Linked DNA regions of Callithrix jacchus. The protein of the gene in region 1 binds, or shares a complex with, the protein of each later gene. Links are inferred from orthologs where the notes say so. Each region holds a gene or a part of one and is shown in the gene's direction. Other genes may lie near its edges.

Region 1 (4,291 bases):
TGGACCATGTACACCACGTACACCCAGCACCACATTCTGGGAGGGGCGGGGGTGGGAGCAGTAAATGACGAGTGTTTTTGCCCGTGTTGCTTTTCTCCTCCCAAGTGTGATGTAAAACTTTTCACATGTGCAGAAGCACGCTACCATAGCCACGTGCAGAAGCAGCCGTTTTTGCAAATGAAAATATTTCCCAGAAGCATAACAAATACAAGACTAACAGGTGTCGGGCAGATCCAAGGCACACATGTGGTTCTCATCAGCCGTCTTCCTCCTGTTTTAAATCTAGGTCTTCCTGTAACCGCGGGAAAAAAAAAGATTTTTCCCGAGGCCGCCGAGCTTGCCTTTCCACCCCGTCTCACAAAGCATTTCCAACAGAGCTCCCAGAGAGAGGGGAGCAATTACAGAAGGCAGTAAATAGGGTGGAGGTAGGAAGGGCCCCCTTAAACTTGACATCTGCTGTTCTGGGCTTAACCCCGAAGTCTGGGTGACCTTGAGCCTCAGTTTCCTCTTGTGTGACATGTTTGGTTCCGAGAATGAGGGTCTCAGTTTTACAGCATCTCCAAGCAGAGGTGGGTGGAAGGGTCTTTCAATCACGGGGTTCTCCGCCGGTGAGGGGGGGCGGGGAGACTGTGGCCCCCAGGGAACGGCGGCAATGACTGCAGACTGGGGGAGGGGGCGATCGGGTGGCCAGAGATGCCGCTCTACTTCCGACAGATCGGAGAGCCCGCCCCGACGACAGAGGGATCCCGCCCAAATACCAGTGGTGCCGAAGTGGAGAAGCCGCGGTAGAGATGCAGGTTTGCAACCTCCGGCTTTCCGGCGTTCCCAGCTAGTGGGGCGGCTCCTGCCAGAAGCGCTTTGCTGCTTCACGTTTCCGCGATGGGGGTCGCACGTGGCTATGCAGACCCCCCCCCGCCCCGCCACACCCACTCCCACACCCTCTGAGGGGCGGAGGTGGCCGCGGCGACATCCCCGAGCCCCTCCGATGACCCTTCGGGACGCAGAATCACAACGTGAACGTCTGGTTCCCTCGCCCCCTCAAAAAACTCGACAGCTGCTAAGCCTGCAACTCCCGTACCCCAGTCACGCGCCAGGAAGGGTCTCCCCAAGAAAGGATTCTCCCATCGCCCTCCCCGCCCTGAGGTAGCCGCCGCGAGCGTCAGGGTTCAAGGACTCTTCGCGCGCGCGCTTCCGTCGGAAAGCCCCGCCCCGTGACCCGGGCTGGGGCGGGGCCTCCAGGCAGTGACCGTTGCCCCGCCCAACCTCCTCCCAACGGCTGCCTTGGCTGGGCGGTGGGGCGGGGCGGCACGGGCGGGCGAATGCGCCTGCGTGCGCATGCGCGCTGGTGAGGGGCGTGGACCACGGGCTGCCCCGCCCAGGTTTGGCGTCTCCTCCAGCCCCATCTCCCAACCTCCTCAGCGTGGCGCCGACGCTGCGTGCGGCGCTGACTACCCAGAGTACTCCGCGCGGGGGCAGCTCACTGGAGTTTGGTTCTCGAGGCGGCGGCAGCGAGCGGCGGCGGCTCCGGCAGCTCCTCCTCCTCCTTCGGTGGCGGCGGCGGCCCGGGACCGAGACCCGGCCCCGGCTCCCCTCTCCGCCACCCCGCGCGCCCCCAACTCCCCCGGCGCCGCGGGGAACATGCGGCTCCGGCTCCCGGAGGCCGGCGAGTGAGTGACCCCCGTCCCCCGCCTCAGCCCGCCCGCCCGCTGGCCCGGCCGCAACCCCCCGCCTCGCCCAGGCAATGACAGCGGCTCCGGCGTCTCCGCAGCAGATCAGGGACCGGCTGCTGCAGGCCATCGACCCCCAGAGCAACGTAAGTACCGGCCGCGCGAGCTGGGACGGAGGCCGCATGGGCCCGGGACCCTCCCCCTCTCCTGTCCCTTTCGCCCAAAGGGCTTCAGGGGACCCGTCTGGCGCCCACCTCCCTTCAAGGGCCGCTGCCATCCCTGCCTTTCGCTCCTCGGGCCCGTGCCGGGGGCAAGTTGGGCAGCCCGGCAACGCTCTGTACGTGAGGCCGAGGCTTCCGTGCGGCCTGGGCGGAGGAAGCAGACAGGAGACTGAGGCTAGAGCTTTTCCCCCCTTTCTACTCCAGCTCTACGACCCTGACTGCTCTGGACGAAGCCCCCCTGCCTCGCCCTCCCTCCGGGACCCGAGACCCCCGGGAAGCCCTCCTGGAGCGGGGGAGGGGAGGGAGAAGGTCTGTGAAGCAACTGGTGTCCGGGGTATGACTCGGGGAACCTGTGTCTCTCATTTCTCGGCCTTCTGGGCGATCAGGGAAGTCCTTGTTCCCTCTCCTCCCGGCCGGCAGCACCTACCCGGCTTCGCACAGAACCCCCAGTCTGTTTTGCCCCTGGCGGGGTAACCAGGGTACGTGGAGAGTCTGTCTCTGTTCTGTGACTGGACACGCCTTTGCCAAAAACCCTCCTGGGGTCGCTGCCGACGACAGATGATCGCGGGGAGGGTGGGATCCTTCCTGTTGCCTTTCTGGGCCTAAGTACTCATTGCGTCTCTGACCAAGCCAGAGCTCCATTTTTTGGCTAGTGAATTAAAGAGGACTGTTTCCTCTCCGTTTACCCAAAACCCGTGTTTCAGTCAGCTCTTTCCCTCACGTGGGGAGTCTCGGCTCGGTGGTTTGTGACCCAGACTGTCAGGGTTAACTCTAGGGTGTCGCTTCCTCAGGTGCCCCTTTGCTGGGGCTACTGTTTTTAGAGGGACCACCCCCTCCCCCCTCCGTGTGTGTGTGTGTGTGTGTGTGTGTTGGGGGGGTGGGAAGACTGATCTATTCTCATATTTTCTCTAAGTGTTTCTTGGCAGTAGGGGTCATTCTTCTGGCGGCAGGAGCAGGGCGGTGGGAAGATGTGGTAGCATCCAGGTATGAAGTAAGGGCCTGGGAGACCAGGAAGTGGCCATTGAGATCACTTTTTAATATGCTGTGAATGGAAGAAAAAAATCATCTTTGGCTTGGCCAGGTAACTCAGGTTTCTCTTCCCATGGGGGTTTTTGCTTTTATTTTTACATGAGCTTGGCTGATTACTCTTAGCAGTATGCTTAACTCTGATGATGTTTTTGGAATAATTCACATTGGCTTAAACAATTTTGGGTAAAGACTGAAGGGTTATGAGTTTTTTCTAAGGCTCTGGTTGCTGTGACATAAGTACCGCTCTTATCCCTGGTAATCAGGTCCCATTAAAATTGATTGTAATTGTGTTTAACAAATTTTGTGTTATACATTTTTGTCATGACTTTGGGGGTGGAGTGGACACAAGCTATATAAAACCTTCTAGAATGTCCTTTTTGCAGTAACTGGTGCCACTGCAATTTTAAAGACTGAAATATTAGAGGATAAAACAGGTGACATGAAAAAAATAGCATTGGTGACTTGTGCATCTTTTGTGGAGTCAGAAGGTAATTTTTTTTTAATCTCACGTGCTCGCTTCCCTTCGGGAGAGTCGGAGAGGTTGCTGAGATATTAGCATTGATCCTTAATGCCACCTCAGAGAGCTTTGGGATCAGGCAGTGTTGTAGATTAGGCCACCCCAGTGACCTCAGGGGTTCCACTGTTGTGTAAGGCTCTAATCTAGAGGGTTCCTTGAGGCAGAAGAGAGAAAGGAGGAGGGAAGGCACCTTCATTTTGTATGTCTTAGCATATGCAGAAATGTTATGTAGGTAGGTCCCTGGTTATGTTACCTGGTGTGGAATTTACCTGATGATAATGGGCAGAGTCCTACTAACATGGAGTGCATGGATTTGGGAAATTATCTCTTTGACTATGAGCAGTGAGGAAAGTGCCTCCTTTGTGAGTGACCCTCTGGGCGCTGTTATGGGCCATTTGACAGGACCATTCGATAGGACCATTCGGTTTGAGCAAACACCATGCAGAAACCCAGAGCCGCAGTGGACAGGGTTGCTGGCAGAGGTGGTGGTGAGGGCCAGGCATGTCAGTATGTCTGCAGTTTCTCTCAGATCAGTGTGGGTTCAGGTGAGAGCAGGTGGCTCCAGCACAGGCACTGCTGGCCCGCTGTCTCCTCTCTGGCCTGCGCAATGATGGACTCCACTATTGGATATTTAGTTGACACATATTTAGGATCCTCATGGAAAGAAAAAAAAACGGGGACAGTGTTGAAGAGCCAACACTAAAATTAAACCTCTTCTGAGAGAAGCGGCAGAGAATTGTGTCATGTAATGCTTACCTTTATGCAATTATGGTTAACAAACTTAGCTGTTGCTTGCAAGATCAGTGTCAGGAGCTGACCTAATATCCACAAGTATCTGGAAAGTTGAGGAAGTGACG
Region 2 (4,381 bases), on another chromosome or scaffold:
ATCTGCCCTCCTCAGCCTCCCAAAGTGTTGAGATTACAGGTATGAGCCACCACATTCGATCCAGGTTCTTCTAATCATAAAGCCTTGAATTGTTCCACTCCAGGATAAGAGAGCAGCACACAGTTCTGAACTCTCTTTCAGTCATCTCTATCTCACCTGTTTCTCCTCCCCTTGGTACAGGCTGCAGAGCTCCACAGAAAAGGGGATCAGAGTGAGACTGGGCTTCACAAGTCTTGTGATGTATCTGCAGTCACCTCTTCTGCTTATGCTGGGGGAGAAGGAATCCAACATGCCTCCCATGGAATGGCTGCTGAAGGAGCAGCAGCAAGGACAGCAGGTGGCATGGCAGGAACAACAGGCCCCAGAGCAGGTGTGGCAATAGCAGGCACAGCAATGAGTCCTGCAACAGGCGCTGTGAGCATAGCAGCAAGCAAACCTGCAGGCCCAGGCCAGGTGACCACAGCGCTGGCGGGAGCAGCCATCAAAAATCCGGGAGAAAATGAATCCAGCAAGTCCATGGCAGGTGCTGCCAACATATCCTCAGATAGTATGAACTTGGCCTTGGTGGGTGTTGCAAGCACCTCCTTGGCAGGTACTTCTTCCACCACGATGGCGGGGGCCGCCCATCTCTCCCAAGACAGCAGCTTGAGTATGGCATTTGCAGGCAGTATGACGACAGGCAAGTGTGTGGCAGAAAGAACTCAAGGACCAGCATTGGGACCCCTCGTGTCCACCTTGCAAAGCGAAGGCTACATGAGTGAACGGAATGGAAGCCAGAAGCTTTCCCAGCCCAGTGCTGAAGCCTGGAATGAAAAAAAGGAAAGAAGAAAAAAGAAGGACAAACGTCCCAGTAGGAAAAGTTCCCATCACCGCAAGGCAGGTGAAAGTCACCGCAGGACAGCAGGAGACGAGACCCAGAAAGCATCCTCCCACCGGTCTATATCCGGCCATAAAAACACGAGAGATGACAAAAAAGAACAAGGGCGCAGCAAGGTAAGGGGCAAGGGACGTGGCTCCTCTCGCAAGAGCTCCAGCCACAGTTCCACCAAAAAGGAGTCGAGAACAACTCACAAACTGGGGAAGAACCGATCCACATCTAGTACAGGAGCTTTAAGTAAGAAACCCAGTAAAATCATGTCTTTTTTAAGGAGCCTCAGGGCTACTGCTGGTTCAAAAACAAGGGTCACATCACACGACAGAGAGGTAGACATCGTGGCTAAGATGGCGGAGAAGCAAAACATAGAGGCCAAAGTGGAGAAAGCCCAGGAGCTGGAGGTGATCAGTGGCACTGTGACATCCAAGATGATGGAGATGACCATCTTTGAAACCAAATCCATTTAAATAGGAGCCAGGGCTACAACTCCCAGGGATCTGGGAAGTATCCCTAGAGAGCCCATCCCAGCTTTCTTTACTGCAGTTTAAATAATAAAGGAAATCATACAACCCCTAAATAAATAAAATCTCCTGTTTGAATTTTTTCTGCCCCATAGCCTGGCAGTGACTTCACAGTGGCTTCTGTGATGGTGACCACATTACAGCCTGAGACCCCAGCCTCCAGGCAGGTAGAGCCCTACCACCCACCCAGGCCCAGCAGAGCCAATGTGAGTGTTTTGCTTTGCCTCAACCCCTTTCTGCCTTTGCTTCCCCTAGACTGTCAAAGTCACAGATTAAGAGCTGGATGCACCACCACCACGTCCCCATGCCCATTCTCTTCCCTGAATGCTCCTGAACATGGACATTCAGTCCAGTCCATAGACTAGGCAGAGACAGGATTCACATCCCCTCAGAGGGTATTCAGGGGAGGAAGGAGCAGTGCAGCAGCATTTGTAGGCAATTAGAATAGGAAATCTATGCATCTAGATCAGGAATTGGCAAACCATATTCTGAGGTCCAAATCTTGCCAGCTGCTTGGATTTGTAAATAAAATTTTACTGGAACATAGCCACAGCCATTCCTTTGCATATTGTCTATGGCTGCTTTCACGCTAAAATGACAGATATGAGTAGTTGCAATGGAGACCATATGGCCTGCAGAGTCTAAAATATTATCTGGGCCTTCACAGAAAATGTGCTGACTCTTGATCTAGTCTTAACAAGTCTTCCTCCTAGGTGTAGACAGTGGAGAAATTCTCACATATGCTTGCCAGTAGACAACTAGGAGAATGTTTATAGTAAAACAAATTGTAATAGCAAAACCCTGGAAATCCTCAAGTGTTCATCAAACAGGAGAATTAATAAGCTATGAAATAAACTACAGTGCATAATCTACAACAGTGTAAATGAATAGCGGCTATTAGAAAGGATACATTTTTTTTGTTTTTTTTTTTTGAGATAGAGTCTCAGTTTGTCACCCAGGCTGAAGTGCAGTGAGGTGATCTTGATTCACAGTAATCTTGGCCACCCAGGGTCCAGCAATTCTAGTGCCTCAGCTTCCAAGTAGCTGGGATTACAGGCATGTGCCACCATGCCCAACTAATTTTGTGTATTTTTAGTAGAGACAGGGTTTTGCCATGTTGACCAGGCTGGTCTCAAATTCCTGACCTCAAGCAGTCCACCCTCCTTGGCCTCCCAAAGTGCTGGGATTACAGGCATGAGCTACTGTGCCCAGCTAGCATGGATAAATCTCACATAATATGGGATACTAAAAGCAAGTCACAAAAATATATATGATATAGTTCAATTTGTAGAACAGTTCAAAAATAAGATTCAACTATGGGATATATATTTGCTTAAAGTATAGAGAAAAACAAGGAAATGATAATCACAAAATTCAGGATATGGATAAAAAAAGGAAAGAAGAGAAAGGGTAAAGGGAGAGATGTCTGATCTGGGAGGCACACACAAACAGCTTCAACAGAATCATGATTATTCCATTTCTTAAACAAGAGGGTGTATTCATGGAGGTTTGTTATTGTGTCTTTATTTTAACATCTCTGAAATCAGGATTGTTTTTAAATCACTTCCAGCAAAGTGTCAATTGTATGTCACTGCCTTAGAAACGCCCTATCCAATTTATTTCACCAATGTTTTCCTTTTTACACCCACACAAGAGAGATTTATGACAAAAAAAATCTAACTCTGAAAGACATCTTTCAATAGGTACGAAACAAAAATTCTAAGTAACATAAAAATATTCAGAATATAGAAACATGGAAAATGTTTAAATGTATTAAGAAATAAAATAGTCCAAAATGCTGTGTACTAACATGATGTAAATTATGTGTTCATGTGGAAGTTAATCCCTAGAAACGGGATTGTAAATTTTAAAAAGTTTTATTGTAAAAAAAATTGTCTTTCCATTAAAAAAAAAAAAACCTGTAAAATGAATCCATGAAAAACATTACAGTATTAACATCAGATAATAAAAATTCAATTTGAGAAAAATGATTCTGGGAGCCATGTGTGTTCATGTAAGTCCAGGAGGGGAGCAACTGCTCAGCCTTTTGAGTCTTTGCTCATTCTCTGCAGCAGTACCTTGGAGGACAGAAGTTGAGTTTCTGGCAAAACTTAGGGACTTTCTCTGAAGACCAAATATGTGTAGTGCAGATGGAGGAGGTGAGAAGCAAGGTATTCTGGGAGGAGTAGTGGCCTGTCAGTATCAGGGGAATCCCTTCTCAGTTGCTCTGGTGGGCGGCTGGAAAATCTCACCTTGTGGCTTTCAATAAAGACCATAGAACCTGAGATTAAGATGTTCTGGGAGTCGACTCTTGAAACAGTGGATACAGTTAGATGGAGAGAGAGAGGCACACACTCAGAAGTCTGAGAGGGCCTTTGGGAAAGCCACACAGGAGTGTGACAGGTTGGCAGGTGGGGTAGAGGAGAGAGATAAAGCGGAACTCCTGTCAAAGCCTTTGGTCTGGAGTTCCAGACTTACAGCTATGCCAGAGTCTGAATTATCCTAGCTACAAATGGCTTAATCTCATAATTGTGTAGACCATGGCTTTATCTTTTGTTTTCCTTCTAGTCTTGTTTTATGCACCCTCCCCCGTCTGAAGGGGAGGGTGCACTCTCTCCATCCTGTACAGCATGAACATAGTTCATCCACCATGCAGGGTGTTAGCTGAGCAGACCTCCAATGTACACAAATGCAACTTAAGTAAAGTAGAGGCGGGGACTTGCCCACCACAGCATGCTCTGCCACGTACTTTGCTGCAATTCCTTTTCTATCTTGATACTTCATCAAGAGAAAGATGCATAAATATGTATTTCAAAGCAACAGGTCTCTTCCTCAGAGGGAGATGTCAACTGGGGCATCAAGTCAATACCCCTATCAGATAAAAGACAATGTTTTTAACAGCAATATTTGTCACCATGGTAGCAATTCTGCCGCTGCAAGTGTAATGAGAGTAGATGGCTGATTACTAACCAATGTTCCAAACTTA
Region 3 (4,341 bases), about 28 Mb from region 1:
AAGAGCGAAACTCCGTTTCAAAAAAAAAGAAATATAAAGTAGCAGGACACCATGGCTCACGCCTGTAATCCCAGCTCTTTGGGAGGCCAAGGCGGGAGTATCGCTTCAACCCAAGAGTTTGAAACAGGCCAGGGCAACATAGCGAGACCCCACCTCTACAAAAAAATTAAAAATTAGTCAGGAGTGGTGGTGCGTGGCTGTGGTCCTAGCTGCTGCAGAGGCAGGACAGTGGCTTCAGTGTGAGAAATAGAGGCTGCAATGAGCCAAGATTGCAATGGCCACTGCACTCCAGCCTGCACAACAGAGACCCTGTCTCAAAAAATAAAATTTAAAAAAAAACAATGAAGTGTTTCTATTTTTCTATACTGTTATTCATCGGTAAGATTTGTGTAGTACATTTCTGTCAACAAACACGCTAGATTTTTCCAGTTCGTGGTATATGTTTCAACTTGCTTTATGCAATCTTTTGCGGACAAATTAATATTTTACGTATTCTGACTTTGCTGAGAAACTTCATGGCAGTCATTAGGATTTTTTTCCTTCAGCTATTTTCGTGTTTTATTTGTTGCACTTATGTTCTTAATCCACCTGGAATGTATTTATGTTCTAGGCTAGTTTCTGGCTCCTCGCCCGGAAAACAACGCTCAGGTGTTGCTTAGTAACCCTTGCACTTGGGTTCGTGTTCAGCTTCTTTTCAGGAGGAAAACTACTATCCTCCCTTCCAAGTTAAGGGCAACCTTAAAGCGTTGCCTAGTAACCTCGTTTCCGCCATTGCGATTGGACCCTTCTCGCGTCCCTCCCCCCAGTCCCCGCGCACGAAAGAACAGAACCAGAAACTTAATCTCATGGTTAGAAAACAAGGGCAGCGGGCCGGGCGCAGTGGCTCACGCCTGTAATCCCAGCACTTTAGGAATCCAAGGCTGGCGAATCACTTGAGGTCAGGAGTTCGAGACAGCCTGGTCAACATGGTGAAACTCCGTCTCTACGAAAAATACAAAAATTAGCGGGGCATGGTGGTGGGCATCTGTAATCCCAGCTCCTGGGGAGGCTGAGGCTGAGGCGGAGCTTGTAGTAAGCCGAGATCGCGCCGTTCCCCTCCAGGGTGGGCGACAGAGTGAGAGTCCGTCTCGTGGGGGGGGGGGGGGGGGGAAAGGATAAAGGAAAACGAAAACAAGGGCAGCGTTAGTGTTGCATAGCAACCAGGTCTCCTGCCCCTCCCATTGAGCTAATAGGCGGGCCCAGACGCCCCGCTCAAAGATGGCAGCCGACTGTGCCGCCTTCAACTTATTTCGTTCTTGACAATCCTGACAATGATTTTGTCTAACCCATCAGGCCCCCCAAAAGGGCTAACTATGTCCTTGCTGAGTCTTCCACGGGTTAGGGCGAAGGAGGATGGAGCTAGATCGAAGCCTCAACCTGTGCCCCGCACAAATATGGCCGCCCGTGCGTTCCCAGCAGCCCTCAACCGCCCGGCGCGGGTGCGCGCGCAGCGCAGGCGCATTTCCCCTCATTCCGCGGTGTCGGCTGCGGCGGCAGTGGCGGTGGCGGCCTCCGCGCGGGGTATGGTCCCCGGGTCCGAGGGCCCGGCCCGCGCCGGGGGCCTCGTGGCCGACGTGGTGTTTGTGATTGAGGGTACGGCCAACCTGGGACCCTACTTCGAAGGGCTCCGCAAGCACTACCTGCTCCCGGCCATCGAGTGAGTGCCGTTTCCGCGACTCGAACCCCGCCCTCCCACTAGAGTTTCCCACAGCTTCTGGCCTGACTCCGACCTTTCACCTCCGACCCTCACAGGTATTTTAATGGTGGTCCTCCTGCTGAGACGGACTTCGGGGGTGACGTGAGTCTTGGGACTCCTGGGTCTGAGGGAGGAGGGGCTGGGGGCCTGGATTCCCGGGTGTGAGGGAGGAGGGGCTGGGGGCCTGGATTCCCGGGTCTGAGGGAGGAGGTCGGGGTCTGGACTCCCGGGTGTGAGGGAGGAGGTACTGGGGGCCTGGACTCCCGGGTCTGAGGGAGGAGGAGGTCAGGGTCTGGACTCCTGGGTCTGAGGGAGGAGGGGCTAGGGGCCTGGACTTTTGGGTCTGAGGGTAGAAGCACTTGGGCCGGTACCCCTGGGTCTGAGGGTGGAGGTGCTGCGGTCCAGACTCCCGAGTCCGAGTGAGGAGGGGCTGGGGGCCTGGACTCCTGGTCTAAGGGAGGAGGAGGTTGGGGTCTGGACTTCGGGGTCTGAGGGAGGAGGAGGTCGGGGGGTCTGGACTCCTGGGTCTGAGTGGGGAGGAGCTGGGCCTGGACTCCGGAATTTGAGAGAGGAGTGGCTGGGGACCTGTATTTCTGGATCTGAGGGAGGAGGGACTGGGGGTTTGGATTCTTGGGTCTGAAGGCGGAGGGGCTGGGACTTGACCCCTGTATGTGAGGGAGGAGGGGCTGGGCCTGGACTTCTGGGTCTGAGGAAGGAGGAAGCTGAGGAGTTCCTGATTCTGGAAGAACAGGAAGCTGGGAGCCCTGATTCCTTCTCTGAGGGAAAAGGGAATTGAGGTCCCAGATTAAAAGTTCCTCTGTCCCCACCTCCCAGTATGGGGGGACCCAGTACAGCCTCGTGGTGTTCAACACGGTGGACTGCGCTCCTGAGTCCTACGTACAGTGTCACGCTCCCACCAGCAGCGCCTATGAGTTTGTCACCTGGCTGGATGGCATTAAGTGAGCTTTTTCTCCACTTGGGCTGGGTTGGGGGACCCTGTGAGGGACTGTGAATGAGAGGTGGTTTGGGTTTAAGCTTCAAGAACCATCCCTTTACATTAGGCGATTGAAAGGGCTGTGAGGGTCATTGTGTTTTTGTCAAGAGTCACTTCTGTGGTGGGTTCTGTGTGCTCAGCAATGTTGCCATCCGGTTTAGAAGCATGAAAAACTTCCCGTTCAGGGAGGCCTGACTGAGCTCCAGCAGCCACCTTGTACTGAATGTGTGATTGTCCCCTTTCTGTCCTCTCTTTTTCCATCTGCCCTTGTTCTCCTCTTCCAGATGGGTACATTGTAGCCTCAGTGCAGAGGGATGGGTCAGAGCCAGGATACATCCCTCTGTGGCTTGGGTCGGATTGTTTTTTTTTTTTTTTTTTGAGACAGAGTCTTGCTCTGTCACCTAGGCTGGAGTGTGGTGGCCCAGTCTCAGCTCACTGCAACCTGTACCTCCCAGGTTCAAGAAATTCTCCTGCCTCAGCCTCCCAAATAGCTGGGATTACAGGCACCCATCACTATGCACACCTACTTTTTTTTTTAATTTTACTTTTGGTAGAGACAGGGTTTCGTCCTGTTGGCCAGGCTGGTCTGAAGCTTCTGACCTCACGTGATCTGCCTGCCTCAGCCTCCCAAAGTGCTGGGATTACAGGCGGGAGCCACCATGCCTGGCATCGGATCAGATTTTGATAGTTGATGTTGCAGACTCTGGAGTCAGGCAGCCTGGGGTCAAATCCTGGCTCTTCCAGCACCGAACTAACTCTCAGACCCAGGAGCCCTGTCCCCACTGTGCCTAGCCTCTCGCCTCTGAAGCAGGATGCGGGTAGTACTTGTGTTTTAGTACTTACTCTTAGCTGCATACAGGTCACCGCCAAACCTAACAGCTTCATACTGCAAGCGTCCATTATCTAACGCAGTTTCTGAGTCAGGGACACAAGAGTGACTTAGCTGAATGGTTCGGCTGAGGGTGTCACAAGGCACCTCTTGAGGGTGTCAAGAGGTCGGCAGGGTTGCAGCCATCCAAGGGTTTGACTGGTGGTGGGGAGGCCCCTCCCAGGGTGGCTGACGGTGGCTGTTGACCGCGAGACCTCTGCACGGAGCTTGACTGTTGTAACATGGCTACAGCCATTCCTCAGATTGAGTGAGCCAATAGAGAGCGCAAAGAGGAAGCCCCCAGGGCTCTTCTGTTTTTGAGGAAGGGTCTCACTCTGTCACCCAGGCTGGAGTCCAGTGGCTCAGTCACGACTCACTGCAGCCTCGACCTCCTGGGCTCAAGCTCAAGTGATACTCACGCCTCAACTTCCTGAGTAGCTGGAGTAGCAGGGACTATAGACACGTGCCAGTACACCTGGCTAATTTTTTTTTTTTGAGATGGAGTCTTGCTCTGTTGCCCAGCCTGGAGTGCCGTGGCACAGTCTTGGCTCACCACAACCTCTGATTCCTGGGTTCAAGTGATTCTCCTGCCTCAGCCTCCCGAGTAGCTGGGATTACAGGCACCTGCCACCACGCCTGCCTAATTTTTTGTATTTTTAGTAGGGACGGGGTTTTACCTTGTTGGCCAGGCTGGTCTTGAACTCGTGACCTCAGGTGATCCACCTGCCTTGGCCTCTCAAAAGC
Region 4 (4,251 bases), on another chromosome or scaffold:
GTGCTGGAATTACAGGTCTGAGCCACCTGAGCCCGGCCTGATCTTTTTTCTCCAGGCTCTCCTTTCCCAAACTTTTCTCGACATTGCAATCAGAGTTCCTTTAAAGCTCACATCTATTCTTTTTTTTTTTAAATTGAGACGGAGTCTCGCTGTGTCACCCAGGCTGGAGTACAGTGGCGCGATCTCAGCTCACAGCAACCTCCGCCTCCTGGGTTCAAACAATTCTCCTGCCTCAGCCTCCTATGTAGCTGGGATTATAGGCATGCCCCACCATGCCCAGCTAATTTTTGTATTTTTAGTAGAGACGGGGTTTCACCATGTTGGTCAGGCTGGTCTTGAACTCCTGACCTTGTGATCTGCCCGCTTTGGCCTCCCAAAGTGCTGAGATTACAGGCGTGAGCCACCGTGCCTGGCCACATCTATTCTTTAGTTTGGCATGCAGAGTACTCCTGGATCTAGGCCTACACCTTTTCCACTCGCCTGCTCTGCCTATGGGGGTAGCCATTCTTTATTCCTTTACTTTCTTTTTTTCTTTTTCTTTTTCTTTTTTTTTTTTTTTTTGGATACAGTCTCTCTCTATCATCCAGGCTATAGTGCAAGTGGTGAAATGTAGGTTTGCTGCAACCTCCGCTTCCCGGGTTAAAGTGATTCTCCCACCTCAGCCTCCCCAGTAGCTGAAAGTACAGGCATGCGCCACCATGCCCGGTTTTTTAGTGTATTTTTAGTGGAGACGGGGTTTCACCATGTTGGCTAGGCTGGTCTTGAACTCCTGAACTCAAGTGACCCGCCCACTTTGGCCTCCCTAAGTGCTAGAGTTACAGGCATGAGCCACCATGCCTAACCCCTCAGTTTGTGTGTGTGTGTGTGTGTGTTTTTAATTTAATTTAATTTTATTTTTCTTTTTTCTAGTCAAGTGCAGTAGTGAGAAGGGGGGAAAGAGTAGAACAAGGAGTTCGATCTGTGTAACTGTGAACAATCAATTGAGATAACTCACTACCTTCGGACCAGCCCAGTTTTTGTTTTTTTTTTTAAGTTCATGATAATCTCTGTAAGTCTTAACAGTTCCAAGAGACTTTCTACACAAGTACATCTCCAGGTTGTCAAACCTAAAAATATTTTCCTAGAGGAAGGCCTGTGACATCAAGGCTTCAGGTAGCTCCCGGAGGAATGCTCCAAAGGAGGGCGCCATCTTTCTTACAGCAGCCCGGGATTTCGCGCATGCGTTTTTGGTTGTCTGTCCGCAATGAAGCTCTTTGGCCTTCTCGGCACCCTTACGTTCCGGAACGGCAGTTTCGAGGTTTGTGAGACTTCGGCTTCCGATCGGAGGTGAAAAGAGGAGGAAGTTGGCTGGTTGCTTCCGTCTAAGGGCTTCCGGGGCTCGGTTAACCGGAGGGCTGGAATCTAATCGTCGCTCAAAGGCGCCTAGGTGCGCGGGTGAATATAATTCCCGGCTTCCTGAGAAGAAGCTAGAGCCTCAAGGAGGTGTGTTTCTAGTGTTTAAATGGACACGTGTTCTGGATGCGGCTTAAAGGGACCTATACACCATCATCTTAAAATAACTTTCTCTTGGCTCTCTTTAAAAGGCATTTTCAGGCCAGCCGCAGTGGCTCTCCCGCCTGTAGTCTAGCTACTTGGGAGGTAGATCGGGAGGCTGAGGATCGCTTGAGCCCAGGAGTTCGAGGCTGTAGTGAACTGGGAACTCCCCATTGCACTCCAGCCTGTGCTGCAGATCGAGATCCTGTCTCCAAAAAACAAAAAGGGAGAGGGGAAGGCATTTTTAGAGAGATGGAATGCCTAGATTCTAGTTTGGTCCAAACTCTGCCACCAACTTGCTCTGTGTATCCTTCTGCCCCTCTCCGAGTCTCAGTATCCTCATCTATAAAATTAAGGGCCCTTAAGTCACTTTTCAGTTCCTCTGAATTTTGTTTCCTCTTTATTATGTCATTAGAGCCACATAGCCTCCGAAATTAAAAAATACTGGCCTCGGCTGGACGCGGTGGCTCATGCCTGTAATCCCAGCTCTTTGGGAGGCCGGATCACCTGAGACTCACCTGAGGCCAAGGAGTTCAAGACCAACCTGGCCAACATGGCAAAACCCCATCTCTACTAAAAATACAGAAAAAGCCGGGCGGGCGTGGTGGCACATGCCTGTAATCCCAGCTACTCGGGAGGCTGAGGCAGGAGAATCGCTTGAATCCTGGAGGCGGAGGCTGCAGTGAACAGAGATCACCCCATTGCACTCCAGCCTGGATAACAAGAGTGAAACTCCATCTCAAAAAAAAAAAATTGGCCTTATTTTATAAGGAATACATTGAGTCCCAGGGTGAGGGGTTGTAGGACTTTCTCAAGATTGCACAGGTAACTTGGAAGTTTCAGAACTTGAGACTAGAAGGTTATGGTATAACTCCATGATTAGATCTCCCTTTTATATTTCTGTATTATCAGTTCCTGGAACTGGCCATATAAGGAGATACTCAGACGTTTTTGAATGAATGAATCTTTTGATTTGAAGGCTAGTGCCACAACAGATCTGGTCTTTCTCCACCACTCTGATGTATAAACAAGTGAATTCTTTTTCAGGTATATCTCATGCCTTACCTGACTGGGCATTCTGAGTTGTGTTGTCTTCAACTTAGACACCATGGAGGCACCTCCAGTCACCATGATGCCTGTCACTGGGGGCACCATTAACATGATGGAGTACCTGCTGCAGGGTAAGTGAACCAGGGAACTTGGATTACCTGTTTTCCTCTTCTCTGTTCAGCTTCCGTGAAGATGAGAGACTTAACACAAAAGCAGCCTGCACAGTTTCTGGCAATCAGCTATGTTTTTAATTGTTACTTCATATTATAGTTTTATATGCATTAAACATATTAAATTTGTCATCATAACATATTTAAGTGTACAGTTCAGTAGTGTGAAGTATATTAACATTGTTAAGCAACAGATCTTTAGAACTCGTGTTTATTGTGAATAGCTTGAAAAAATACTTAATAGAACTTTTTTTCCTTTGAGACAGAGTCTCGATCTGTCACCCAGGCTGGAATGCAGTGGCACAATATTGGCTCACTGCAACCTCCACTTCCTGGGTTCCAGGGATTCTTACATCTCAGGCCTCCGAATAGTTGGGATTACAAGTGTGCATCACCATGCCCACCTAATTTTTGTATTTTTTAGTAGAGAGTTGAGGTTTTGTCATGTTGGCCAGACTGGTCTTGAACTCTTGGACTCAAGTGATCAACTTACCTTGGCCTCCCAAAGTGCTGGGATTATAGGCATGAGCCACTGTGCCCAACCTAAAATAGTTTTTCATCCTGTAAAACTGCAACTCTGTATCCATTAAACACTGATTCCCACTCCCCTGTAACTATCCCTTAGCAACTATCTTTCTAGGTCGTGTTTCTCTGATTTTTTTTTTTAGATGGATTCTTCACTCTTTTGCCCAGGCTGACTGCAAACCTCCATCTCCCAGGTTCAAGCAATTCTCCTGCCTCTGCCTCCCAAGTAGCTGGGACTACAGTGTGCACCACCATGCCTGGCTAATTTTTATATTTTTAATAGAGATGGGGTTTCACTGTGTTGGCTAGAATGGTCTCCATCTCTTGACCTTGTGACCCGCATTCCTCGGCCTCCCAAAGTGCTGAGATTCCAGGCATGAGCCACCACGCCCAGCTAACCATTTCATTTTCATCGTAGGGTCTTAGCTCATCTGTCATCCCCTTAGAGAGTCCTCTGACCACTCCAACATCTCAGAGTAGTTTCCTCCCCTTTGTCCCCTCCAGTTCCTCTCCATCTGATTCTCTTTTATTTCCTTGTTTTCATTTACTTGTTTGGTTATGTGGAGACAGAGTCTTGCTCTCTCACCCAGGCTGAAATGTAGTGGTGCAGTCACAGCACACTGCAGCCTCAACCTCCTAGACTCAAGCAATCAATCCCACCGCATCCGCCTCCTCAGTAGCTGGGATTACAGGCCCATGCTACCACGCCCAGCTAATTATTATTTTTTATTTTTAGTAGAGATGAAGTCTCACTATGTTGCCCAGGCTAGTCTCGAACTCCTGAACTCACATGATTCCTCCCACCTCAGCATCCCCAGTGTGCTCGAATTGCAGGCATGAGTCACTGCACTCAGCCTTACTTATTTATTTCTTGTTTCCACTACTAAACTGTAATGTCCACAAGGGCAGAGCCTAGCACAGTGCCCCCAGGACAGCATTTAGTAAGCATACATTGAATGAACCAACACACTTA
Region 5 (3,602 bases), on another chromosome or scaffold:
TAAACATCACTAATCATCAGAGAAATACAAATTAAAACCACAATGAGATATCACCTCATGCCTGTTATAATGGCTGTTATCAAAAAGAGGAAAGCTGTGTTGGTAAGAATGTAGAGAAATGGGAATCTTTGTTCACTGTTGGGAGAAAAGTAAATGTTGTACAGCCATCATGGAAAACAGTATGGAGATTCTTCAGAAAATAGAACTGCATATGATCTAGCAGTCCTGCTACTGGACATATATCAAGAGAATGTGAAGTCAGTATGTTAATACTGGTATCTGCATTTCCATGTTCATTGCAGTATTATTCTTAGTAGCCAAGATACGAAATCAACCTAAGTGTCCCATCAGTGGGTGACTAGATTTTAAAAATGTGGTATATATACACCAGTGAAATACTGTTTGGCCTTAAAAAGAGAAGGGAATTCTGCTATTTGTGATAACGTGGATGAAGCTGGAGGACATTATGCTACATGAAATAAGCCAGGCACAGAAAGATAAATACTGTATGATCTCACTTTCATGTGGAATCTAAAAAAATTGGACTCATGGAAGTAGAAAGTAAAGTGGTGATTACCAGAGACTAGGAGTTGGGGTATTGGGGAGATGGCCAAAGTGGACAAAATTTCATTGGGAGGAATAAGTTCAAGAGATCTATTGTAAATTCTGGTTACTACAATTAATAATACTTTGTATATTTGATAATTGAGAGTAGAATTTAAGTGTTTTCACAGAAAAATAAGTACCTGTATATGAGATAATGAATATGTTAAGTAGCTTGATTGAGCCATTTTATAATACATACATTAAAAAAAAACCTCAGAAACAAATTGGGTTATTTGGCCTCCTTATCCTAGGGTATTCCCTGGGATATAGGAAACATGTAAGCCACTTCTTGTGCCTGCGGTACAGCTTTCTCAAAATGTGAAACATATACTACATTCTGGAGTATCCCTGAGATGGAGCTTCAAAATTTTGGTTTTTAATAAGTATCCTAGATGGATTTTTACTTAAAATTTCAAAGCTGCAGCTCTAGTGGATCTTTAGAACTGACACACAGAGGCACTGGGAAAGTGACTTTTCTCTTTCTGAAAACGAGGATTATCTCAAGTCAGTTGACAGAATGATTTGGACAGTTATGTATCAAATTGTTTTTCTTGTGCAGGAATATATTGGGAGTTTAATTTTCATTGGAATTGGGATTATGTATTTGTTCCCCTAAAATGGGGCGGGAGGGAAGGAAAATAAAATTGTAGTACAGTAACTAAGAGGTAATATTTATCTAGTACTTAAGCACCTAGCAATGGGCAAAGCATATTAACCTATATTCTATTACATTTAATTCAGTTCTTGGTATTGAGGCACAGAGAGGTTAAGTAAGTTGTCGAGGGTCATACTGTTAGTAGTGGAGCTGGGATTCAAATTAAAGTCTGGCCCAAGAGTTACCTCTTAATCATTGTTCTGTTCTTCCTTTACATTTCAGAAAGAGAAAAATACAGGCTGGGTGAGGTGGCTCACACCTGTAATCCCAGCACTTTGGGAAGCAGAGGCAGGCAGATTGCTTGAGCCCAGGAGCTCAAGACCCGTTTGGGCAACATGGCAGAACCCCAACTCGAGAAAAAAAAATTAACTGGTTATGGTGTCTCATGCCTAGTCTCATCTACTGGGGAGTCTGAGATGGGAGGATTGCTTGAGCCCGAGAGGTCAAGGCTGCGGTGAGGTGTGATTGTGCCACTGCATTCCAGCCTGGTGGTAACAGAGTGAGACACCATCTCAAAAAAAACTACAAATATGTGTGTGTATTTAATTCACTTTTCCTAAATAGAATTTATATTTTTATTTAATATATTAATTATTCATGTAGAGTACTTAGCTATTTTATGGATTACTTGACCTTCTAGTGAGCTTCCTGGAAAAGGTATAAACCCCTTATACCTTTATAACATTTTTTCTATTAAAAACACTTTCTAGATTTTAAATAATAAATTACAGTTTCTTGTTGCATAGTACCCTATGAACTTAAAGTTACATGTCTAATTTAAACAGAATAATACTTATTTGATCAGTAGTAGCAGTTTTATTTTTCTGATTGACTTTTGTAGATGCTCCACGCCCTACTAGTCATGCCCGTCCTCCATCAACAAGTTTGATTTATGACTCAGACCTGGCTGTCTCTTATACTGATCTTGATAATCTCTTCAATTCTGATGAAGATGAACTAACAGTGAGTATCTCATTAATAAATAGGAATATATTGATTTTATGTACATATTTTTTATTCTTTAGAAGTGATTTATGAGTTTAATACTATGATTTAGCCCTGAACAATGAGAAATATTTCATAGTAAAGTCTCATTGGTTTCTTTTTTAATCTCATGTTTGAGTAGTCTTGCCATAGTGTCACCTATAAACTTTGAGATTTTTGTTTCTCCTTTTGTTTTTACATTTGGGAAACACATGATTAACCTTAATTTGAGCTCTGCTGTATGTTCTATTTTGCAGTTTTAGGAAGCAGAATTATTTTCCTATTTGATTCTGTAGTTTGAGAAATGACCCTGGAATTTACTCATTCAGAGAACACATAAATAATTGACATTAAAGTTATTTGCTTTGTCAATTTATTAAGGAATACCAGTTCTTTTGAATTTGTTTGACATCACAGCTATTATTATAAGACAGATACATGATATAGCAATGAAAGAGGAAGAAAAAGTAATATTTGATCTTTAACACCCATTTGCAGAGAAAGGTGAAGATAAAAGAAATTAAAGCTTAAAATGAGATTCCCTAGAATGTCAAGTCTCTGGCAAATTAATGAATTGGGTGCTGCATTATCATAAAAGGGAATTCCTTTTCATCTGCATAAAGGTAGCTTGGAAACTTCTATGGTACATTTGGTCTTTCTTTTCCTATATAATATGCATTTATTCCTCTCAGCATATATATCTATATATGTATATGTATGTATATGTGTGTGTATATGTGTATATGTACACATATACACACACATATACATACATATACATATATATATATCAGATACATAAACTTTTACTATATATCCCATAGTGTAGTACATTTTAGAACACCCTTCACTAGGCAAATATATCCTTGAATGTTTTGACACATTCATACTATCTACTACCATTCATGTATCAGCTGTGGTTCCTCTAAGATAAAAAGGTTGTAGTCAGAATGTGGTCTGCATAGTAATATTTATCACAAACTGTCTAACAGAAGACATGGAACAAATGTTAGCTCTGAAAACATTGGTAATAGCTTGGAAATAGTAAAGCTTGTTTGTTCAATGTACTAAAAGTTAGGAAAACTATTGCTTTGTCATTAGATCTTCTGAAGTTTGTACTTAGTTTTACCTGTTACAGTATTTTTATAGGAGTAAGGAGATTATTAAAACAAGGTAAAAGTATAAATAAGAGTTCAGAGAAGTGGGTGATTGAATATATAGGAAAAACACAAACCTTAATGTATTCAACTTAAGGAGACAAATGCTTTGCAAGTATCTTTTACTAAGAAGCATTTCTAATGTTAATTACAACTCCTTCTTATTGCAGGTTTTCTTATTTTTATTTATTTTATTTTAT
Region 6 (4,294 bases), on another chromosome or scaffold:
GCATAATCAATCGCGAGGCATTTGCATATTAATGCCCCCTCGCTCCCTCCTCCTTACCTCGGCGTGGCGCGCTGGACCGGGCTGGGCAGCGACGCGGGGGTCTCAGCGCCCAGTGCCGTGGGCGTCCATGGGGGGCCGGTGGGGCCCGGGCCGCCCGCCTCCTGCGCCCGGGTGTGAGTGCGAGTGAACGCGGGGGGGGACGGGGGGCGAGTGTGGCGGCCCCGCGGCTCCTCCGGCAGAGGCGGCGGCCGCTCTGGCTCCTCCCTCCCCCGCCCCGCTCCGGCTGGGGCTCGGGCTCCGCGCGCCCGGCCGGCTCGCGGCTGCTCCCTGCAGGCCGCCTCGCCACCGCCCGCCCCCGCCCCCCGCCCCCTGCCGCGCCCCGGGACCCCCGCCAGCGGCCCGGCAGCCCCTCGGCCGCCCCTGCCCCGCCCCGCTCGGACTCGCCCTCCCCCGCCGGGCGGCTCCCGCAGGAGTGGGTACTTGGTGACATATTTTGGAAGAGATGTCATTAAAAAATAGCCTTTGCTTGCCGGGAGAATTGGGGGTTTTCGGGTTTGCACCATGGGGTGGGGGAGGAAGTACCGAGGAGCCGCCTGCACCTTACACATGAGGAGAAAGCCTAAACACCAAACGCTTGCAGGTGTAGAGTTTGTTTAGGAGTTCGGGTCCCTTCTCCGCCAGTAACTCACTGTGTGACCTTGACAAATCACCACTGCTGTCGGGGCAGAGCTTCCTCAAGCTTCAGCCGCGAAGGCTGGGCAGATCACCCCTGACGTCCTTTTAACTTCAATCATCCTGTGTTTTTAATCCTTGTGTGGGCTCAGTACCTCCCTCCCCTCTCATTTCTAACATCGATACCGATCCACTGCCTCCCCTTTCCAACATCACCCTTCTCCATATAGGCTCTTTCTATTCTCTGTCACCAGCCATTTCCCCAACAATCTGCTCCCTCTCCTCAGCTCGGGGAGGGGACAAGATTTGCCTTACCCCCTCAATTCCTAGCTCCTGGGTGGTGGTATTTCCCCCCGTGTTTGTTCCCACCAAAATCCAAATGGTACCAGAGTCAATCTAAGGAAGCCGGTGGGCTGCATACAAATGGACCCCCTAACCCAACCCAAAGGAGAGGTTTCCACTGTGCCAGCCCCACCCCCAGCACACATACACACACACACAACACACACACACACGCATCTGCAATTCATGGACATAAAACCAACCCAGTGACGCCAGAGCCCCTTTCATCTCGGGATCTCCCAGTTCCAGGCCAAGCCCTAATTACCCCAGCACGCCCCTGGCCCCGCCGGTTCCCCTGCTGTCATTAGCCCAGTTTTACCAGTGGGGGCCACAGCCTTCCCACGGCTCTCAGGGTGGGGCCCTGCTACACAGTCTGCTCTTGGAGAGGGGTGTGTGTTTGTGTGTGAGCGTGTGTGTCAGGGGGAGCTGCTCAGCTCCTGGCCCAGGTTATACTGGATAGAATCACTTGCCGAGTGTGGGATCCTGACCCACAGCTTATCCAAGCTGGGCTGCCCTTGCTCATGTCTCAGTCTCAGCCTCCTGCATCCTCAGTGCTGTTGGAGCCACTTCTTTCACAGGGGATACTGGAGTTTGTAATGCTTGGCGGAGGGGAGGGTACCTCTCTGGGGGTCCCTGGAACCATGGAGATGAGAAAAGCAGCTGGGATGAAATCTATGGCATACAGAGTGCAGCGGTGGTGTTGAGGGCATGCCATAGGTGAAGGGAGCCTGTGAGGTGCAGTGGCAGCTAGAAGGGGGAGTTGAGGCAGCAGCGTGCAGAGTCTCCACGCGGTAAGCGAACCTGTGTTCAGTCTGGGCTCACGGGAGACAAGCAACAGCTGCAGTGTGGGGCAGGAGGCTGCAGCGTGCAGAGTCAGTGCAGTGAGCAGAATGAGGTGCACTGAGGGTGGCTGCCTGCCGGTGGGTGCCACCTCCTCGGTGATGAGGTTTGGCCGAAACCCTGGGGTGCACGGCTACAGTGTATAGTGCTTGGGGTCTGTGCTCTACCCTGTGTGGAACTAGTCCGTTGGGATTGGGCTGCTTAAGGAGCTGGGAGGGAATCCTGATGCATGAGATACATTTATACTCTGCGTCACAAAGACAGAACTAGGAGGCAGTGGGGAGGGCCAGCAGTCATGTGGATTGGGGCTGGAGTGATGGAGTCCAGAGGCGGAGGAGGAAGGTGCTGTGGTTTTGTCTCCCTTCCATCCTGGCTTTCCCCACCATATCTCTCTTTGATGCAAGGCCCTATAATATTGTGTGGGGAAGACTTTCTGAAATCCTAGATCCAAAGCCATATAAAATGATGTGCCTTCTGATTCCCTTTTTTTTTCCTGAAGGGCAGAGTAGGGCACTCAAAGACAAGGGTTTACCATTTCCATCTTCTCCCCCACTCCTTTTTTTTTTTTTTTTTGAAATGGAGTTTTTCTCTTGTTGCCCAGGCTGGAGTGCAATGCTGTGATCTTGGTTCACTGCAACCTTCGCCTCCCGGGTTAGGGCAATTCTCCCGCCTCAGCATCCCTGTAGCTGGGACTACAGGCATGTGCCACCATGCCAGCTAATTCTGTATTTTTTTTTAGTAGAGACAGGGTTTCTCCATGTTGGGGGCTGGTCTCGAACTACTGACCTCAGGTTATCCATCCGCCTTGGTCTCCCAAAGTGCTGGGATTACAAGTGTGAGCCACCATGCCCAGCCCCCATCTTCTCCTTTAAAAAATTTATTATTATTATTATTATTAGAGACAGAGTCTTCCTCTTTTGCCCAGGCTTGGGTGCAGTGGCACAGTCTTGGCTCACTGCAACCTCCGCCTCCTGAGTTCAAGGGATTTTCATTTCCCACCCTCCCAAGTAGCTAGGATTGTAGGCATGTGTTAGCATACCCAGCTAATTGGTTTTTATTTTTTTATTTTTTGGTAGAGAAGGTATTTCACCATGTTGGCCAGGCTGGTCTTGAACTCCTGGCCTCAAGTGATCCTCCTGCCTTGGCCTCCTAAAGTGCTGGGATTACAGGCGCGAGCCACCATGCCGGCCACCCCTATCTTCTCTTTACCTCTCTCTCTTTCCTGGGCTCCCATTATGTACTGGTGACAGATCTGGGCAGGACAAAGTGAAGGGCACACTGCCTTCAAAGCAGGCCTCTGCCCAGGTGCCAGGATCCAGCCCAGGTCTGGGCTTAGAACCCCTGTCCCTGTATTGCATCCTCTGTCTTCCCAGCCCACTCACCCTGCCCACCCATTTCTTGAAGCTGCTAGCTCTTCTTAGATTCAGTTCATCCTCGGCTCCGGCTCTGTCCTTGTCATGAAACCCCCCATCAGGGCTGTCCCCTCCCATTCTCCATCTCTGCTTCAGCGCATTCCCCGAATCTATCAGAAGGGTAGGGGTGGCATGAATAAGGATGGATAGACTCTCCAAGGGGATATGTCTGATGGCCCCTGCAGCTGAGATTTCCGTTGCCAAGGAGGTAGCAGAAACAGCCTGTTCTCTGGGCTCCCATCAGAACAGCCATGCCCAGGCCCCTCCCTTCCTTCCAGACTATTGCTAGGAAGCACCCCAAGATTTCTTGAGGATACGACCTCTAGGAAACAAGGTAACCAGATATCTTTCTGAAGAGGTTTTTTTTTCAAAGTCTGGCAGCTAAGACCCCACATAGCATCTTCTACCCCTGCCCAGAAGGCTTACACATCTCTAGCAGTTTGGGGAAACAGGAGACAGTCCCCTCTACCAGCCACCCTGGAACAAGCTCTGTGGCCTGGCCTCAGTAATTCCCCTCCTCTAGGTCAGCCTTGACCTCCTGGGCCTAGGTCAGCAAGTGATGGCACGTCCAGCATATACCTCTAGACTCTGCAGATAGAGCTGAACTTACTGGGGGTGCTCTGGAAAGACAGCAGAGGAAACTGAGGCTCCACCAGCTAAGAGAACTCAAAGCTCAGATGTTTCTCCCTCTGAGGGATTTCCCAATCAAGAAGAGTGGTGGAAATGGAGGAAAGAAAGTTGGAGAGCAGACTGGGCAAGGTGGCTCACATTACCAGTACTTTGGGAGGCTGAGGTGGTAGGATCTCTTCAGGTCAGGAGTTCAAGACCAGCCTGGGCAACATAATGAGACCCCCCCCCATCTTAAAAAAAAAAAACTCACAAATGATCTGGGTGTGGTGGCGTGCACTGCACCTTCAGTCCTGGCTACTTGGGAGGCTGAGGCAGGTGAGAGATTGGGAAATTAGCAAATAATTACCCTGGTAAGAGAAAGTGACCATTTAATTTTCCCTTTTGTCCCATCAGGTGCC
Region 7 (3,602 bases), on another chromosome or scaffold:
TTTTTTCTTGGTGAACTGTATAAAGTGGTAGTATTAGCTGGGTGTGGTGGCTCACACCTGTAATCTTAGCACTTCGGGATTCATAGATGGACAGACCACTTGAGGCCAGGGGATACAAGACCAGCCCGGCCAACATAGTAAAACCCCTCTCTACTAAAGATACAAAAATTAGCTGGGCATGGTGAGGCACAAGAGTCACTTGAACCCGGGAGGTAGAGGTTGCAGTGAGCCAAGATCGTACCACTGCAGTCCAGCCTGGGCAACAGAATATCTGTCTCAAAACAACAAAAAAAGTGGTAGTATTAACAAGTTTCATAGGCATCTAATATTTTCTTTTTATATTTATTATAAAGATAATATGAAAGGCATTAAAAATATTTAGAAGATAGAGGGAAAATACTTACTCAACTTCCTTAATGCATGAATAATATTTTGCTGTGGGGCAATTTCTATTTTGTTGTTGTCGTTTATGCACTCCTATTTATTTCTTAACACATTTACAAATCCTTGTATTAGACCACTGTGGCTCATATAGAGCATGCACATGTTTTTTCCTTTGTTAAAAATTAATATAATTATGATTTAACCACATGGAAGTTACTGTTCAATGTTAATATTATAATGATCCCAGAAGATACATTTAAAATATCATTATTTTCCCTTTAGTTATCCAGGCATTAGGTGAACATCTTAAATTAAGACAACAAGTTATTGCCACTGCTACAGTATATTTCAAGAGATTCTATGCCAGGTAGGATTATTTTTATTTTATTTATTTGAACTCTTATCTAATATGGATGAACCTTAGCACAGTGTAAATGAATCATGTGTCTGCCATAGAGTTATCTTGATTTTTTTTTCCCAGTGTGCTTTCTATATGAATGATAATTAACTTTGCTTTATCATATTTTAGGTATTCTCTGAAAAGTATAGATCCTGTATTAATGGCTCCTACATGTGTGTTTTTGGCATCCAAAGTAGAGGTATAAAATGATTTTTTGTTCTTCATCAAAGTGTAGTTAATGTATGTTGGTTAATCTGCCCCAGTTTTCACATTGCCTATATACAATTAATGGTAATTTATGCAAAATACTAAAATTGTACAAAGTCAAAGAAATATATACATATCCTTATATATTCACTTAACAGACATATACAGCACTTACTGTGTACCAACTGACTTAATCTTCGTAACAAACTGGAATACATAGTAGTAGTATTCCCATTTTATAAATGAGGAAACTGAGACAGAGAGAGATGAAGAACTTGCTTAAGATTATACAGCTGGTAAGTGTCAGAGCCCGTGTTTGAACCATGGGAGTCTCATTACCAATCCTGTGTTCTTAACTACTTTCCTTTGCTGCCTTTGAGACATTTCTTGTTTGGCACTAAGTATTATTCAGTAAGTACCCATAGCTTGCCTGCCATAACCTGAGAATGTCCCTCTTCCTTCTCACCCATGTCCTTATCTTCTCCTATCTTCCCTCCTATCATTCTGATGATTGGCTGCCTACCAAGCCACAAGGAAGGCAAGGATTAGGGGACGCTATAGCTGTATAGATTCTAACAAGTAAAAGTTTGGGTTGTGAGAGTAGAGAAATTAGGTAAGGGAGAGAAGATAGATAGGAACTTGCAGCAGAGACTGAATTTCTGTTCAGTTTCTTTTGCCTTTGTCACATTTTTGAAACAGCTCAGCTAAAATCCAGAAAATAAAAGCAGATATTGACTGTTTTCCATAAATAATTAATGTAGTTTTTGTGGTGTAAAATCTTTGCATTATATTTCTATTTTTGGATAATGTCTTAGAGTGGTAGTTTTATTCTTGGATATTGAATGTGATTTTTACCTAGTAAGTTTACATTCCTTTTGGTACCCACTTTGATTTAGTTTTGTTTTTGCCATGATTTAAGATTATCCATGACATCTTCCCCAATGTTTACCTAAATAATGACAGTTGCCTCTGTTAGAAATAATATTAAGACAAGCTTTCTAGAAGATTATGTTTTCTAATTGTGAGTGGTAGTTAAGGCAGAACCAGCTTTGTTTTTGTTAAGTTCTTTAATGGAAAAGAAAGTATTTATTAAAGGTTTTTATTATGGATTGATTTTTCTAATTCTAATAATTCTACTGTGTAATATTTGATTTTACTTAAGTATTACCGTGTAATAATTTTAAGTGTCTTTTTTTTTTTTTTTTTTTTTTTTTTTTTTTTTATTGGATTATAGGTTTTGGGGTACATGAGCAGAGCATGCAAGACAGTTGCGTAGGTACACACATGGCAGTGTGCTTTGCTTTTCTTCTCCCCTTCACCCACATTTGGCATTTCTCCCCAGGCTATCCCTCCCCACCTCCCCCTCCCACTGGCCCTCCCCTTTTCCCCCCAATAGACCCCAGTGTTTAGTACTCCCCTTTCTGTGTCCATGTGTTCTCATTTTTCATTACCCACCTATGAGTGAGAATATGCGGTGTTTCATTTTCTGTTCTTGTGTCAGTTTGCTGAGGATGATGTTTTCCAGATTCATCCATGTCCCTACAAACGACACGAACTCATCATTTCTGATTGCTGCATAATATTCCATGGTGTATATGTGCCACATTTTTCCAATCCAGTCTATTATCAATGGGCATTTGGGTTGATTCCAGGTCTTTGCTATTGTAAACAGTGCTGCAATGAACATTCGTGTACATGTGTCCTTATAGTAGAACGATTTATAGTCTTTTGGATATATACCCAGTAATGGGATTGCTGGGTCAAATGGAATTTCTATTTCTAAGGCCTTGAGGAATCGCCACACTGTCTTCCACAATGGTTGAACTAATTTACACTCCCACCAACAGTGTAAAAGTGTTCCTTTTTCTCCACATCCTCTCCAGCATCTGTTGTCTCCAGATTTTTTAATGATCGCCATTCTAACTGGCGTGAGATGGTATCTCAGTGTGGTTTTGATTTGCATCTCTCTGATGACCAGTGACGATGAGCATTTTTTCATATGATTGTTGGCCTCATATATGTCTTCTTTCGTAAAGTATCTGTTCATATCCTTTGCCCACTTTTGAATGGGCTTGTTTGTTTTTTTCCTGTAAATCTGCTTGAGTTGTTTGTAAATTCTGGATATCAGCCCTTTGTCAGATGGGTAGACTGCGAAAATTTTTTCCCATTCTGTTGGTTGCCGATCCACTCTAGTGACTGTTTCTTTTGCCGTGCAGAAGCTGTGGAGTTTGATTAGGTCCCATTTGTCTATTTTGGCTTTTGTTGCCAATGCTCTTGGTGTTTTGTTCATGAAGTCCTTGCCTACTCCTATGTCCTGGATAGTTTTGCCTAGATTTCCTTCTAGGGTTTTTATGGTGCCAGGTCTTATGTTTAAGTCTTTAATCCATCTGGAGTTAATTTTAGTGTAAGGTGTCAGGAAGGGGTCCAGTTTCTGCTTTCTGCACATGGCTAGCCAGTTTTCCCAACACCATTTGTTAAACAGGGAATCCTTGCCCCATTGCTTGTTTTTGTCAGGTTTATCAAAGATTGTATAGTTGTATGTATGTTGTGTTGCCTCCGGTGCCTCTGTTTTGTTCCATTGGTCTATATCTCTGTTTTGGTACCAGTACCA

Evidence for each region.
Region 2: MED26 (region 1) and MED7 share a complex: the UniProt entries of both Homo sapiens proteins name them as parts of the mediator complex. The link is inferred for Callithrix jacchus from reciprocal best matches to the Homo sapiens genes MED26 and MED7.
Region 3: MED26 (region 1) and MED25 share a complex: the UniProt entries of both Homo sapiens proteins name them as parts of the mediator complex. The link is inferred for Callithrix jacchus from reciprocal best matches to the Homo sapiens genes MED26 and MED25.
Region 4: MED26 (region 1) and MED18 share a complex: the UniProt entries of both Homo sapiens proteins name them as parts of the mediator complex. The link is inferred for Callithrix jacchus from reciprocal best matches to the Homo sapiens genes MED26 and MED18.
Region 5: MED26 (region 1) and MED13 share a complex: the UniProt entries of both Homo sapiens proteins name them as parts of the mediator complex. The link is inferred for Callithrix jacchus from reciprocal best matches to the Homo sapiens genes MED26 and MED13.
Region 6: MED26 (region 1) and mediator of RNA polymerase II transcription subunit 24 share a complex: the UniProt entries of both Homo sapiens proteins name them as parts of the mediator complex. The link is inferred for Callithrix jacchus from reciprocal best matches to the Homo sapiens genes MED26 and MED24.
Region 7: MED26 (region 1) and CCNC share a complex: the UniProt entries of both Homo sapiens proteins name them as parts of the mediator complex. The link is inferred for Callithrix jacchus from reciprocal best matches to the Homo sapiens genes MED26 and CCNC.

Annotation. Positions count from the first base shown.
Region 1 is NC_133523.1:15,245,136-15,249,426, reverse strand, and holds the start of MED26 (mediator of RNA polymerase II transcription subunit 26), read left to right. Parts: upstream 1-1,479; 5' UTR 1,480-1,741; coding exon 1,742-1,813; intron 1,814-4,291. UniProt on the Homo sapiens protein: Component of the Mediator complex, a coactivator involved in the regulated transcription of nearly all RNA polymerase II-dependent genes.
Region 2 is NC_133503.1:19,917,996-19,922,376, reverse strand, and holds the start of MED7 (mediator of RNA polymerase II transcription subunit 7), read left to right. Parts: upstream 1-1,556; 5' UTR 1,557-1,601; intron 1,602-4,381. Other genes in the region: GARIN3 (Golgi-associated RAB2 interactor protein 3), read left to right, coding at 181-1,341. UniProt on the Homo sapiens protein: Component of the Mediator complex, a coactivator involved in the regulated transcription of nearly all RNA polymerase II-dependent genes.
Region 3 is NC_133523.1:43,593,156-43,597,496, forward strand, and holds the start of MED25 (mediator of RNA polymerase II transcription subunit 25), read left to right. Parts: upstream 1-1,509; 5' UTR 1,510-1,562; coding exon 1,563-1,696; exon of another isoform or gene 1,697-1,791; coding exon 1,792-1,837; intron 1,838-2,569; coding exon 2,570-2,694; intron 2,695-4,341. UniProt on the Homo sapiens protein: Component of the Mediator complex, a coactivator involved in the regulated transcription of nearly all RNA polymerase II-dependent genes.
Region 4 is NC_133508.1:65,000,326-65,004,576, forward strand, and holds the start of MED18 (mediator of RNA polymerase II transcription subunit 18), read left to right. Parts: upstream 1-1,359; 5' UTR 1,360-1,426; exon of another isoform or gene 1,427-1,482; intron 1,483-2,580; 5' UTR 2,581-2,641; coding exon 2,642-2,714; intron 2,715-4,251. UniProt on the Homo sapiens protein: Component of the Mediator complex, a coactivator involved in the regulated transcription of nearly all RNA polymerase II-dependent genes.
Region 5 is NC_133506.1:94,817,905-94,821,506, forward strand, and holds part of MED13 (mediator of RNA polymerase II transcription subunit 13), read left to right. Parts: intron 1-2,102; coding exon 2,103-2,224; intron 2,225-3,602. UniProt on the Homo sapiens protein: Component of the Mediator complex, a coactivator involved in the regulated transcription of nearly all RNA polymerase II-dependent genes.
Region 6 is NC_133506.1:72,262,560-72,266,853, forward strand, and holds the start of mediator of RNA polymerase II transcription subunit 24, read left to right. Parts: upstream 1-1,463; 5' UTR 1,464-1,805; intron 1,806-4,289; 5' UTR 4,290-4,294. Other genes in the region: uncharacterized protein LOC108590274, read right to left, coding at 58-490. UniProt on the Homo sapiens protein: Component of the Mediator complex, a coactivator involved in the regulated transcription of nearly all RNA polymerase II-dependent genes.
Region 7 is NC_133505.1:105,600,955-105,604,556, reverse strand, and holds part of CCNC (cyclin-C), read left to right. Parts: intron 1-666; coding exon 667-751; intron 752-913; coding exon 914-983; intron 984-1,149; exon of another isoform or gene 1,150-1,233; coding exon of another isoform or gene 1,234-1,287; intron 1,288-3,602. UniProt on the Homo sapiens protein: Component of the Mediator complex, a coactivator involved in regulated gene transcription of nearly all RNA polymerase II-dependent genes.